3 linked regions of the Rattus norvegicus genome follow. The protein of the gene in region 2 purifies or fractionates together with the protein of the main gene of each other region. This does not show direct contact. Links are inferred from orthologs where the notes say so. Each region holds a gene or a part of one and is shown on either strand. Other genes may lie near its edges.

What was found.
Region 1: the proteins of Dicer1 (region 2) and Ago3 purify together in Homo sapiens (affinity purification with mass spectrometry; 3 studies listed by BioGRID and IntAct, with this or other methods). This does not show direct contact. The link is inferred for Rattus norvegicus from reciprocal best matches to the Homo sapiens genes DICER1 and AGO3.
Region 3: the proteins of Dicer1 (region 2) and Ago1 purify together in Homo sapiens (co-immunoprecipitation; 7 studies listed by BioGRID and IntAct, with this or other methods). This does not show direct contact. The link is inferred for Rattus norvegicus from reciprocal best matches to the Homo sapiens genes DICER1 and AGO1.

What each region holds. Positions count from the first base shown.
Region 1 is NC_086023.1:143,929,315-143,932,837, reverse strand, and holds part of Ago3 (protein argonaute-3), read left to right. Parts: intron 1-355; coding exon 356-550; intron 551-1,262; coding exon 1,263-1,397; intron 1,398-3,244; coding exon 3,245-3,346; intron 3,347-3,523.
Region 2 is NC_086024.1:129,454,406-129,458,702, forward strand, and holds the start of Dicer1 (endoribonuclease Dicer), read right to left. Parts: upstream 2,848-4,297; 5' UTR 2,538-2,847; coding exon of another isoform or gene 2,502-2,537; intron 1-2,501. UniProt on the Homo sapiens protein: Double-stranded RNA (dsRNA) endoribonuclease playing a central role in short dsRNA-mediated post-transcriptional gene silencing.
Region 3 is NC_086023.1:144,035,043-144,038,691, forward strand, and holds part of Ago1 (protein argonaute-1), read right to left. Parts: intron 1,563-3,649; coding exon 1,379-1,562; intron 1-1,378.

The sequences.
Region 1 (3,523 bases), on a different chromosome or scaffold from region 2:
CCATTAAATCTGTTAACTTTATTCCTTAAATCTATAAGTATTGTAATTTGCCTGCTTGCTCTTTCTATAACTGTGCAACCTCTGACCTTTTCATGCACACACATTCACATGTAAGGACAGCATTATACATGGTCCCAAATATGTACAAAATATGGATTTGCGTATATGCACACCACACACACATGAAAATAGAAAAAGAAAAAAATACTGCTTAATCGTTCTAGTCTTTGTGTTGTTATTCTTTACGAGGGATTGTCTATGTTTTGTTATTTTCAAAGTAAGTAATGATGAACAGGCTTTGGTAAAGCATATGAAGACAGCTTAGTTTTGATGAATTCCTCTCTTCCCCACCTAGGTTGTAGGCAGTATGGATGCCCATCCAAGCAGATACTGTGCCACAGTGAGAGTTCAGAGACCCCGACAGGAAATCATCCAGGACTTGGCCTCCATGGTCCGGGAACTGCTCATCCAATTTTACAAGTCAACCCGATTCAAACCTACTCGGATCATCTTTTATCGGGATGGTGTTTCCGAAGGACAGTTTAGACAGGTTGGTTGCCTGGGATTTTTTTTTTTCTTTGTGGGCAAGATACCACTTTGTTTTCTTTGGTTTTCCAACTGTGCTGCCGTACAATGAAAATTCAATCCCCCGCCAGCCTTGTAACCTTGTAGCTCCTTGCCCAGGATGTGTGTTCGAGGATGCTCAGCGGGTTGCCTGGAATATATTTAGGCCATAAGTATACCACACACTAAGTTTATGATGTGATCTCTAGATCTGAAGGTAAACATCTGAAGTTAAAAGTTTGTCAAATCAAAACTGATGCCTCGGTAGATTTTCCTTTTTAAATCTTCCTGTGGATATGTGAGCCTTCATTGCTCTGCTCGTGGCTAAATGACATAATGCAGAAGCATTATGGAGGTGTACGGTACATGATGCTAAGAAGTCATGAGGTGGGGCTGGAGAGGTGGCCTAGCAGTTAAGAGTGCTTGGGGCTCTTGCAGAGGAACTGAGTTCTGTTCCCAGCACCTACATCAGGTGGCTCCCTGCCACCCGCAGCTCCAGGAGCTCTGATGTCCTCTTCTGGCATCCAGGGCACCTGCACGCACGTGCACAAACAAACTCCTGCCCAAACACATATGCATAACTTAAAATGAAATTGATCCTTAAAAACAGAAAATCACGAAGTGAAATCATTATCTTACTTTGGAATTTGTAAAATAAACAACTGGCTTGTTCCGTTCCTGTGCTGCATCTTCTCTAGGTATTATATTATGAGCTCCTGGCAATTCGAGAAGCCTGTATCAGTTTGGAAAAAGACTATCAACCTGGAATAACCTACATTGTCGTTCAGAAGAGACATCATACGCGATTGTTCTGTGCTGATAGAACAGAAAGGGTAATTTTTTTTTCTTTTTTCTATTTTTCGGAGCTGGGGACCGAACCCAGGGCCTTGCGTTTGCTAGGCAAGCGCTCTACCACTGAGCTAAATCCCCAACCCAGAAAGGGTAATTTTATGTCTTGTAATACTGCTCTAAGTCAAGCTCCCTCCCCACCATCAAGCTTCCAATGTCTGCCTCTTCCCTTCCCGTCCTCCCTTTTCTCCCTGTTCCTTCTCTCCCTCCTTTCCTATCTCTTCCCTTCTTCCTCTTTTTCTGTTGCTGGAAATCATGTGCGGACCTCATGGGTGCTAGCTAGGCTGTGTACACTGAGCTCCATACTCAACCTAAGTGGTTTTTCAGTTTAACTGACTTAGTCCTCCTAAAAATTATGCAGTTATTATTACATATAATAGAATATATATATATATCATCCCTGTCATGAAAATGAAGCTGTAATCTCTCGATGGTTACAGAGAAAGCACTATTAGAAGTGGTCCTCAAATCCAAGCTACGTAACTACACAGCATTCTTTTCTATGATTCATTTTTTTATGTATGTTGGTATTTTGCCTGCATGTGTGTATAGTTACAGACAGTTGTGAGCTGCCACATGGGTGCTAGGAATTGATTTTTGTTTTTTTATTTTTTTTTTTTTTGGTTCTTTTTTTTTTTTTTCAGAGCTGGGGACCGAACCCAGGGCCTTGCGCTTCCTAGGCAAGCGCTCTGCCACTGAGCCAAATCCCCAACCCCGGGTGCTAGGAATTGAATCCAGGGCCTCTGGAAGAGCAGCCAGTGCTCCTAACCTCTGAGCCACAACTCTAGCTCTACTACAGAGTTGTAATGGCGATGGTCAGCTGCGGTTAGTAAGGCCGCTCATCCGTGCTTACTTCTGCCCATGCTCCACATGACGCTAACAATGGCTGCGACAGAGTTTAGTTGGAGTGTTTAGATGTAATGCACATTTCAGACCATGGGTTCAATTCCCAAAAATGAAAACAAAAAGGAAGATTTTTATAGCTGAGAAAACAAAGAGGTAAAATACCTTGTCCTAGATAGAGCAGCAGTTCTCAACCTGTTGGTTACCACCACTTTGGCAAACCTCTGTCTCCAAGGCTATTTGCTATTTACACTATAATTCATAGCAGTAGCAAAATTGTTTATGAATAACAACAAAAATAATTTTCTGGTTGGGGGTTACCACAACATGAGGAACTGTATTAAAGGGTTGCAGCAGTAGGAAGGTTGGGACTAACTACCCTAGAGCATAAATCTAGAAACTGGAACTGTCATGAAAAATCCAGTTTCCTCTTTAAATAGGTTACAGCTTCTGTATGGTATGTGTTGCTAATTTATTAGGCTGGGATTTTTTTAAGACTAGATATAATTAAGCTGGGCGTGGTAGCATATACATTTAGTCCTAGCACTCAGGAGGCAGAGGCAGGCGGATCTCTCAGTTCAAGTCTAGCCTGGTCTACAGAACTAGTTTTAGGACAGTCAAGGCTAAACAACAAATCCCTGTCTTGGAAAATCAAATAGTAGTGATGATAAGAATAAATTTTTAAGGGGCTGGGGATTTAGCTCAGTGGTAGAGCGCTTACCTAGGAAGCGCAAGGCCCTGGGTTCGGTCCCCAGCTCCGAAAAAAAGAACCAAAAAAAAAAAAAAAAGAATAAATTTTTAAAAGACGAGGAACTAAGGGATGAACTTAATAGCTACTTCAGTAATATTTCAAGCTCAAAGTAGTGAAATGTGAAGTCGGTTTATGTATTTGAACATTTTTAATGTACTTTCTGATACTTGTTTTTGTCCTGTTGATTAAAATTTGATTCCCCCCCCCACCCTCCGCCAAAAAAAAAAAAAAATGTAGGTGGGAAGAAGCGGCAACATCCCAGCTGGAACCACAGTGGATACAGACATCACTCACCCGTATGAATTCGACTTTTATCTCTGCAGCCATGCTGGAATACAGGTGAGCCTGCTCCAGGGGAATGTTTTTCCTGAGGAGCCCCAGTTCTCCTCAGCAAACAGAGAGTAAATAATACTCTTTTCTGTGTTCCTAGTTATTTTCATGTGTAAGTTTTAGTAAACGAATTTCTTCCTTTTCCTTACTTTAAGAGGGAAATATTTTTATGAAAACAGCAGAATT
Region 2 (4,297 bases):
GTATCACTGGCTACACCTCATGATCACATGGCTGACTGGGACAGGAAAGAGTCAAAACTTCACAATTAAAGAAGTGTCTGCTGTAAATGGTCTTCTCACAAAGCTTAAGGCTAAAAACTGTCATCAAACCATGATAAGCTAAGGACCATCTGTACATACGAGAGTTTCAGCCTTTCAAAGTGAGGAGAAAGATGCACACTCACATGAAGCCCAAAGGCATATGCTAGGTGTCAGTACACCAGCACCAAAGGACAAATCCTCAATGGCTACCCTTACATGAGGCTCCTAGCACAGCCAAACTCAAAGACAAGGAAAAGAGCAAACAATGGTCGCTTAGTCGTGAAGGGCGGAATGTGGATCAGTGTCCCAATGAGGGAAATCTGGAGGAGGACCGTGTGACACCTGCAAACCCGAATGTGCTGCACTGTACACTTAATGGCTAAAACTGCAATGAGTATCCTGTCACATTTTAAAGCAACTGCAAACGTTTAGACAAGCAGAGGACACCTGACTCTCTCAGTGGGCCAGAGCTTCCCTCACGCCACCTGTACTGAGGACAGATCCCACTTAGTGCAGTCTGCCTAAAATCCACTTGGACAGCACATTTTGAGGAGCAGGCATGCAGGCATTCTGAAACCAAATCATGATTCAAACAGTCAAGACTCAGGTAGACTCACAGTCTGAAGCAATCATCAGAGTCTCACTTCCCTCGTGTGTAAAACCAGGAAGAAGGACGCTGCATGAAGGCACTGAGAATTCAATGAGACTCTGTGAAAAGAGCCTGACACATCTTGGCACAGACTGATGAGTGTTCCCAAATGTCCTCCTTCTCTCCAAAGATCAGCCTATGTAGGCTGCAGGGAGGAAATCCTTAAGGAGCACACCCACCCTCTCAACTGACATCTCCAGCTCACAGCATCAGACAGTGGCAAAGAGGAAGATATGGCAATAGTGTGACACAATGCTATAAAGGTTATCCCCCCTGGAAAGCAGAGTTACACCTAGACATACATGCCACCACAAAACCACTCTCCAATCAGAACCAAGAGTGTCAGGCCTGTAATCCCAGTACCCCAGAGGCTGAGGCAGAAACTTCCTGGGGTCAAGAAAGACAAAAATGAACGACACCAAAATACTTCTAAAACCAAAACAAGATAGGTCAACAACAGACAAAACAGCCCAGCTATACAACTCCTACCCAGAAACGCTGCCAAAATGCAGTGCCCTGCGAGGGCCATAAAGACAACCACATTACTAATGTAGTTGCAAGGTCTTTTATCACCCAGTTAAAGCCAACCGAGACATCTTTTGGAACCACGAGTAAATTCACAGACTTAAGCTACCACACTGATCATTAAAAGCTGCCCTTGGTGCTGACAGTTCAGTACACTCCAACCGTAAGCATGTGTGCACTTCTTACACTGCACATTTCACAGGTAGCCTAAAAAGAGAAACAGATTATCCACAACTCAGTCTCCCAAGATATCAAAAAGATTATTTCCAAAAGTGTCCAAACTACCATTTGCTACAAGCCTTACCCAGAATTCCCCTTTTAGTAAAACTTTGGTTACAATGAAAATTTTTACCTAGAAAACAATGTTTATACCAATGAATTTCCAACTCAGTGATCCTATTTTACAGCAGGTTTGAAAAAACATTTCCCAAGTTTCTTAACTCTTGAATTGCATTCTTTTCTACTGGCACACTGTGAGGCTCCTCAGAAAACTGACAACCAAGACTGCAAAGATTCGGAAACTCAGGAAGTCCCAAGTAAGTCTCTTTCAGCAGATGATGTCTTTCAACACTTGAGCATCATAATACTTAGGTCATCATATATCGGTAATTAACCCTTTAGCCACAACTCTACTCATAAAGGCAAGGTCCATATAGATCACAGACTCCCAATCATTCATCCATCCATTTGGGCAAGTCTTCAGAACACTGGCGCTGTCCTGCAGGCAAAGTCATAAGGGCAGCTCAGTTCTGCTAGGCAATCCACACCAATTTGGTTTGTTAACTTGAAATGTACACTGATTTGGCCAAACGAAAGCCCCTTAAAGGCACAGCGACCAGAAAGGGGAGGGGCACGAAACACAGCCTGAGCCACCCACCCCCTAGGGCCAGCTTTGGTCACCTGCCAATAAACACACAACAATCCTTCCCAGGGCTCCAGCCCGCACCTCGCGGAGGCCTTGTCCCCCTCCTGATCCTCTGAGACATCCAGGGGTCCAGCGCCATTTGGCAGGCCCGGGTCGCTCCCGGGACGCCGGCCCGCGTGGATACCTCCTGTCTTCTCCCGGGCTTCGAACGCGGAACGGGACCTGTCAAAGCCCGCTCCTCCCAGGGCTGGGACGTGGAGAGGCCCGCGTGGACCTTCATCTACCCGGGCTCGGCGTCGCGGCCTGCTCCAGGCGCCCGCGCGGGCCTGGCGCAAGAGGCGGGCCGTGCATTGCTGTTCCCCGGGCCCGGACACAAAGCGGCCCAGCGGGAGCCCGCCTCACCTGCAGCACTGGGCGCCGCGGGCCTTCCAGAACCATCGGACCCCGCTCCGGCGCGCGCGTCACAGCCCAGGCCTCCCGGTGCCGCCCGGCGCCGCCGCCGCCGCCGCCATTTCCTGCCGCTCGCCGTCGCCTCGTTCCCGCTGTCAGGTTACTCCATTCACCTGGGCCCGGAGCCGCCCGCACCGCACCGCGCCGCGTCCCGACCCCTCCCGCCCGCGCCTGCGGAGACTGCGCAGCGCCCTGCTCGCCCGCAGCCCGCGCTCGGCCCGCGGCGACGGCGCACAGCGGCTTGGAGAATCCCACCGGCGTCGCGCCGCCGCTCCGCGCCCCCTCGGTTGCTCGCCCTGCGGCCGCATGAAAGCCGTCCTGTGATTGGTCGGGGCGCGGAGGTGAAAGGTTAATCCCGACCCTCCAGCCACTCAGGAGCTGGGAGACAGCGGACTCAGTCCGAGGCGGTGAATGAGGCCCAATGCGAAGACCGAGCTCTGTAACGCAGTCAGCCAGCCGGCGGGCTGGAGTCCTGTACCAAGTCCGGTCCGGGCTTGGTCTAGAGTAGCCTCCCGGCTCTGGCGACTCTCTCTCCTGGATGATGGCACCCTCGCAGACCCATCGCCCCCAGCCGCAAACCCCATTGCAACGTTCTTTGAGTCCTCAGAACTGGGCCCTTTGGCCATCCCTCAAAACCAATTTAAAATGCCCTCGGCGTGCAGATTTGCTAAGGCTGAGCTTGCTGAGTTCAAAGGAATAAAGAGACCGACTTAAAGAAAACCATCTTAGTGTAGCCTCCCCGACCTCCATGCATCTTGGAAAGGACTTCCGGATAGACTGTTGTATTCCAGGTGAAGAATGGACAGTTCTAGCCCTGGGCTTCTCTCCGCCCCTGGAAGCACTTCGCTGTCCATCTGAAGTGTATCCAACTGGATGGCCACCAGTTCCACATAGTGCTTGTTACCTCTCCGAATTAAGGTTAATCTTTAACAAATTGTAGTGGTTTGTTTATTAGAATAAATACTAGTGTCGTTTGTTTCATTTTCTTATTACTATTATTTTGAAAGCTGGTCTCGCTATGTAGACCAGGCTGGCCTCAAACTCAGAGATCCAACTGCCTCCGCCTCTCAGTTGGTGTGTGCCATCATACCCGGCTTTTTATAAAAATTAAGATACGTTCATCTATTTATTTGTGTGTCTGTGATTGTGTGTGAGATGCGCGGCACGGATCCTCATGATTTCACGACAGGAGGCTCCTAACCTCTGAGCCAGCTCCCCAGCCCCGTCTATTCCTGTAAATGCAATGGTTCTCAACATTCCCAATAACGCAATTCCTCAAGTTTTGATGACCGCCCCCAAGTCATAAAATTATTTTCGTTCTACTTCATAACTGCAATTTTGCTACTATAATGAATTGTAATATGTCTTCCAGTGGTCTTAGGTGACCCCGAGGAAAGGGTCGTTTGAACCCTCCCTCAAAAGATCGAGACCAACAGGTTTGAGAACCACTGTGTGAGCACTCGAAATTTTTAAGCTCCGTGGACTAGCGTTGAATTTAAAGCTCATAGGCCTGTACACCTTATATGACTCCCATTTTAAAGAAAAAAATGGTTTAAACTCCACTTACTCTGCAGCTAGGATGTGAACATCTGAGACTTGAATCTTATGCTGTCTCCCAAGCAGGTGTGCTCATTCAGTCCTGTGCTCAAATTCTGGTCATGTATTGATCATGAGTTAGCTTGACCTTCAGCCATGGGTAAATGAGGAAATAAATGTTTTTGGCTGTTCATGTTCACAAGCATCTTTGT
Region 3 (3,649 bases), on a different chromosome or scaffold from region 2:
GCTTTTGGAAACAGCTCAAAATTGAGGCAACATCCCGTGTACCACACTCATGTTTAAGGTCTACTCCGTGGCAATACACCTCAAGCTTCCAACATTCCTATGAATCATCAGGTTTCATTAAAGTCATCTTCTGATTTGAACCCACACTTAGAACCCACACTTCCAAAATCCTACAGTAATACTGTTGGTCCTCAGATCATGAGACCTCCACAGACCTTCTGAAGGGGAAGGGCCTGTTCCCAGGTCTATCCTGTCTGCCAAACAAAGACGGAAAGGAAAGAAAGGAACGGATCTGAACTGGCCTAGAAATAATAAAATACAGGGTAGGAGTCCTTTCTCCAGCTCTTGGAAGTTTTACCACTGTTTTCTCTCCTGTATCATCTTTTCCTCTGTCTTACTCCTGAGTTCTTCTGACACTGCCTCAGGAATGGACAATGTCTCAATTTAAACTGCCTTGTGGCAGTCATTCCACTCCTAGGACTTCTATCTTACAGATACACTCACACATCTGTGAAAATATGTATCTTTATATAATACTTAACAGTTTCAATCTTGTTGCAAAGTTTAGACTCTACCTAAATATCCCACAATAGATCAAGCAAATTATGTGGTCATTTCAAGGACTATCTAGGGCTCTACACAAAAGAATAAGGCAGATTTATATATACTAATATATACTATTTTCCAAAATATATGGTTAAACAGAAAAATGGACAATATTGAACAAAGTATATAGAATCTTACATTATTATTATATATGCTCATACATTACATATATACACATATTAATGCACATATATTGTATTATATGTAATACTTGTATAAAACCAATGTGTATATGTATGCACATGTTTGTGTATACGCATATACAATAATATGTAATAATGTAATATTATATATGGTTATTAATATAATTAATAAGTAATAACAGTAATTGATGGGAATATATTACTATAAATGTATTATATATTCATGTCCATATTATAATGAATGTATACACAGAAAAATATCTGAAAATACACTCAAGACTGTTGAAAAAAATTCCTAGTTTTTAATTGTGAATATGGTTTTCCAGTAATAATAAACCAATTTAATCTGCTTCTTCTACGATTAATCTCTCCAAATATGCATCCCGGAACATCCCCTGCAAGCAAGAACACCATCCATCTTGCTCTTACCCCCGCCATTTTAGCCTTGCCTTTTAACTTCTCCTTCTCTACCGGGCTCCTTACCTAAGTCTCATTCTTAAAATCTCTGGAGTCACCTATCTCAGCAAGTGCTAGAATGTGCTCTGTTCTTACAGAGTTCTCCGGCCGACATGTTTCCTCTTTCCCTGTTTAATAAATTGGACTCGGTGCCACCCACAGTCATCACTTACCGGTTGACTCTGCGAGGACACTTATCCGGCTTGATGTCCACCTCGTAATGGTAGACGTCAATCTTAGGAATGTCCACCTCAAAGTAATTGGCCAGAAGCTTGATCGGTTTGCCCACAGTGCCGATGCCAGGCCGGCGAGGGGCCTGGAACACCTGCTGCAGGGGAGGCAGGTAGGCACCTGCAGCTGTGAAGACAAAGAAGCCAGTGAGGACAGAGTCTGGCCATCTTCTAACTGCTGTGATCAGACAAGGCCTCTCAGACCAAGACCGTGGGTCTCGTTCCTCTTTCCTCACCCAGCAGGGGCTTCCACCAGCTTGGACATTCCCAGGCTCACTGGATTTTCCAATGGCTTATTTTACTTTTATTTTTGTTTTAAACCTTTCTTCAGTTAGGAAAATGTGTGTCTACAACTTCAACAAGTAAATGTGTAATGAGTTCAAGAAAAGTAGCTAAGTTCCTAGTTCACAACGCTTTCCTCCATCTCTACTAGATTGAGACACCTGTCTCTACCAGGTAGGTATATGCCAGTTTAAGAACGATCGATTGATTCTGTGCTACTCGAGAAGCTCATTTCACTCATTAGCATCCAGAACACAAAACGGCACCAGAACTTTGGGATGATATCCTCTGTTAATGTGGACAGGTGAACAACCTCAAGAAAGGCAGGCTGGGAAGGGCAGGGCCTGAGACAGGACTGAGACAGGGAATGCTGGCTCTGGGGAGACAGAAAGAAAAGGGTAGAAGGACAGCATCTGCAGGCTAAGAAGAGGCTGCCAGGGCGGGGAGAAGGTCGGATCTGGAGGTCACAAGAGAAAATGCCTTGAATTGGGTAGAAAAAGGAGGGAAGGAAGGGTACAGGTAGGGCAAGGTTGGGGTACAGAGAAAAAACTATCAAGATGCAGAATGAAGAAACGGAAGAAAATAAAAGCTCACATGAAGAAAGCTAAAGGCTCGGGAAGGAGGAAGAACAGTAAGAGGGGAGACACCAGGTCAGAAAGGGAATATAAGACACTTTCCATTCTTCACAAATCTTTCCACACTGAGGGAGGGTCCAGACGGCAGAAAGGATCGATTTCAGAACAGAAGGGGCCCTTGGGGAAGGAAGGGCTAGGATAGGCCAGCATGACTGCTCCTCAGTCTCCCTCTCCTACTCCGTGTGTGTGTGTGTGTGTGTGTGTGTGTGTGTGTGTGTGTGTGTGTGTGTGTGTGTACACTAAGTAGAGCCTTTGTCCTCTGCTACTATTGTTCTTTCCAGCAGAGAGAGGACCAGCATAGGTGGAAGAGGGACAAACGCCCTCTTTACCAGAGCTCTGCTTTCATAGACACACAGGACTGGGGGATGGGACAGGGGTGGGAGGGTATGGAGCATATCTTAGGCAGGGGGGTCAGGAAGAGGTGGGTCATTTGTGGGAGGTGCACACCTTCCAAAGCTGAAGGACTTGACTCCCTCTAAACCACCTGTCAAATCAGCCCCAGCCCCTTTCTGCAGAGGAAAATACCAAGTCCCTCAGAACTCAGCTACAAGGGAACTAATAAACTAGTCCCACCTATCCCAGAAAGGGCTGAATGGATACTGCATACGAGCCCCACTGACAAACACGCACCCCTCTCACATGCAAGCGCTCTAAAGCTTACCGTTCTACATACGCTCTTCACCATCAGTGAGGACTCAGTGTTTCAAAAGAAGGGACCATACTTGACTTAATCACAGCTCAAGCTAGTGCCGGGCATAAAGACAGGTACTTCATATGCTCATATCACATAAATGAACAAACAAACCGATAGGCACACCACAAGAGTGCACAACCACACAACCATGCTTGCAACTGTCCCAAACAAACACAAACTCTGTGCAGAAGCATTTGTCCCTTTTCAGATATATCTTTCCCTTTCCCAAGTTTTAGGATTCCATTCACTTTTTGCCTCCTAGTCTGAATAATCAGTTGAAATTCTGAGAGACATCCCTCTAGAAGAACCAAGGGCAAAGCAGAAATTACAGGGATGAGGTGAGACAGACACTCCCCTTGGAGCTCTCACCATCCCAGAGCTGGACAGCACACCAGTGCCTGAGAGCACGCTCCTGGTCAGGGTTCAGAGAAAATGGAGAACATCTCTCCACTTCATCCCCAAACTAGGGAAGGAGGCAGGGGGAAACAACTACCTCTTTGCCATTCTATCTATCCCCAGGAAAGCGCCACAGCTGTACAGTCTCTCCTCCCCAACCTCGCCCTGCCCCCAGCTTTTAGTCTGAGAAAGGAAGACACTTCCCCT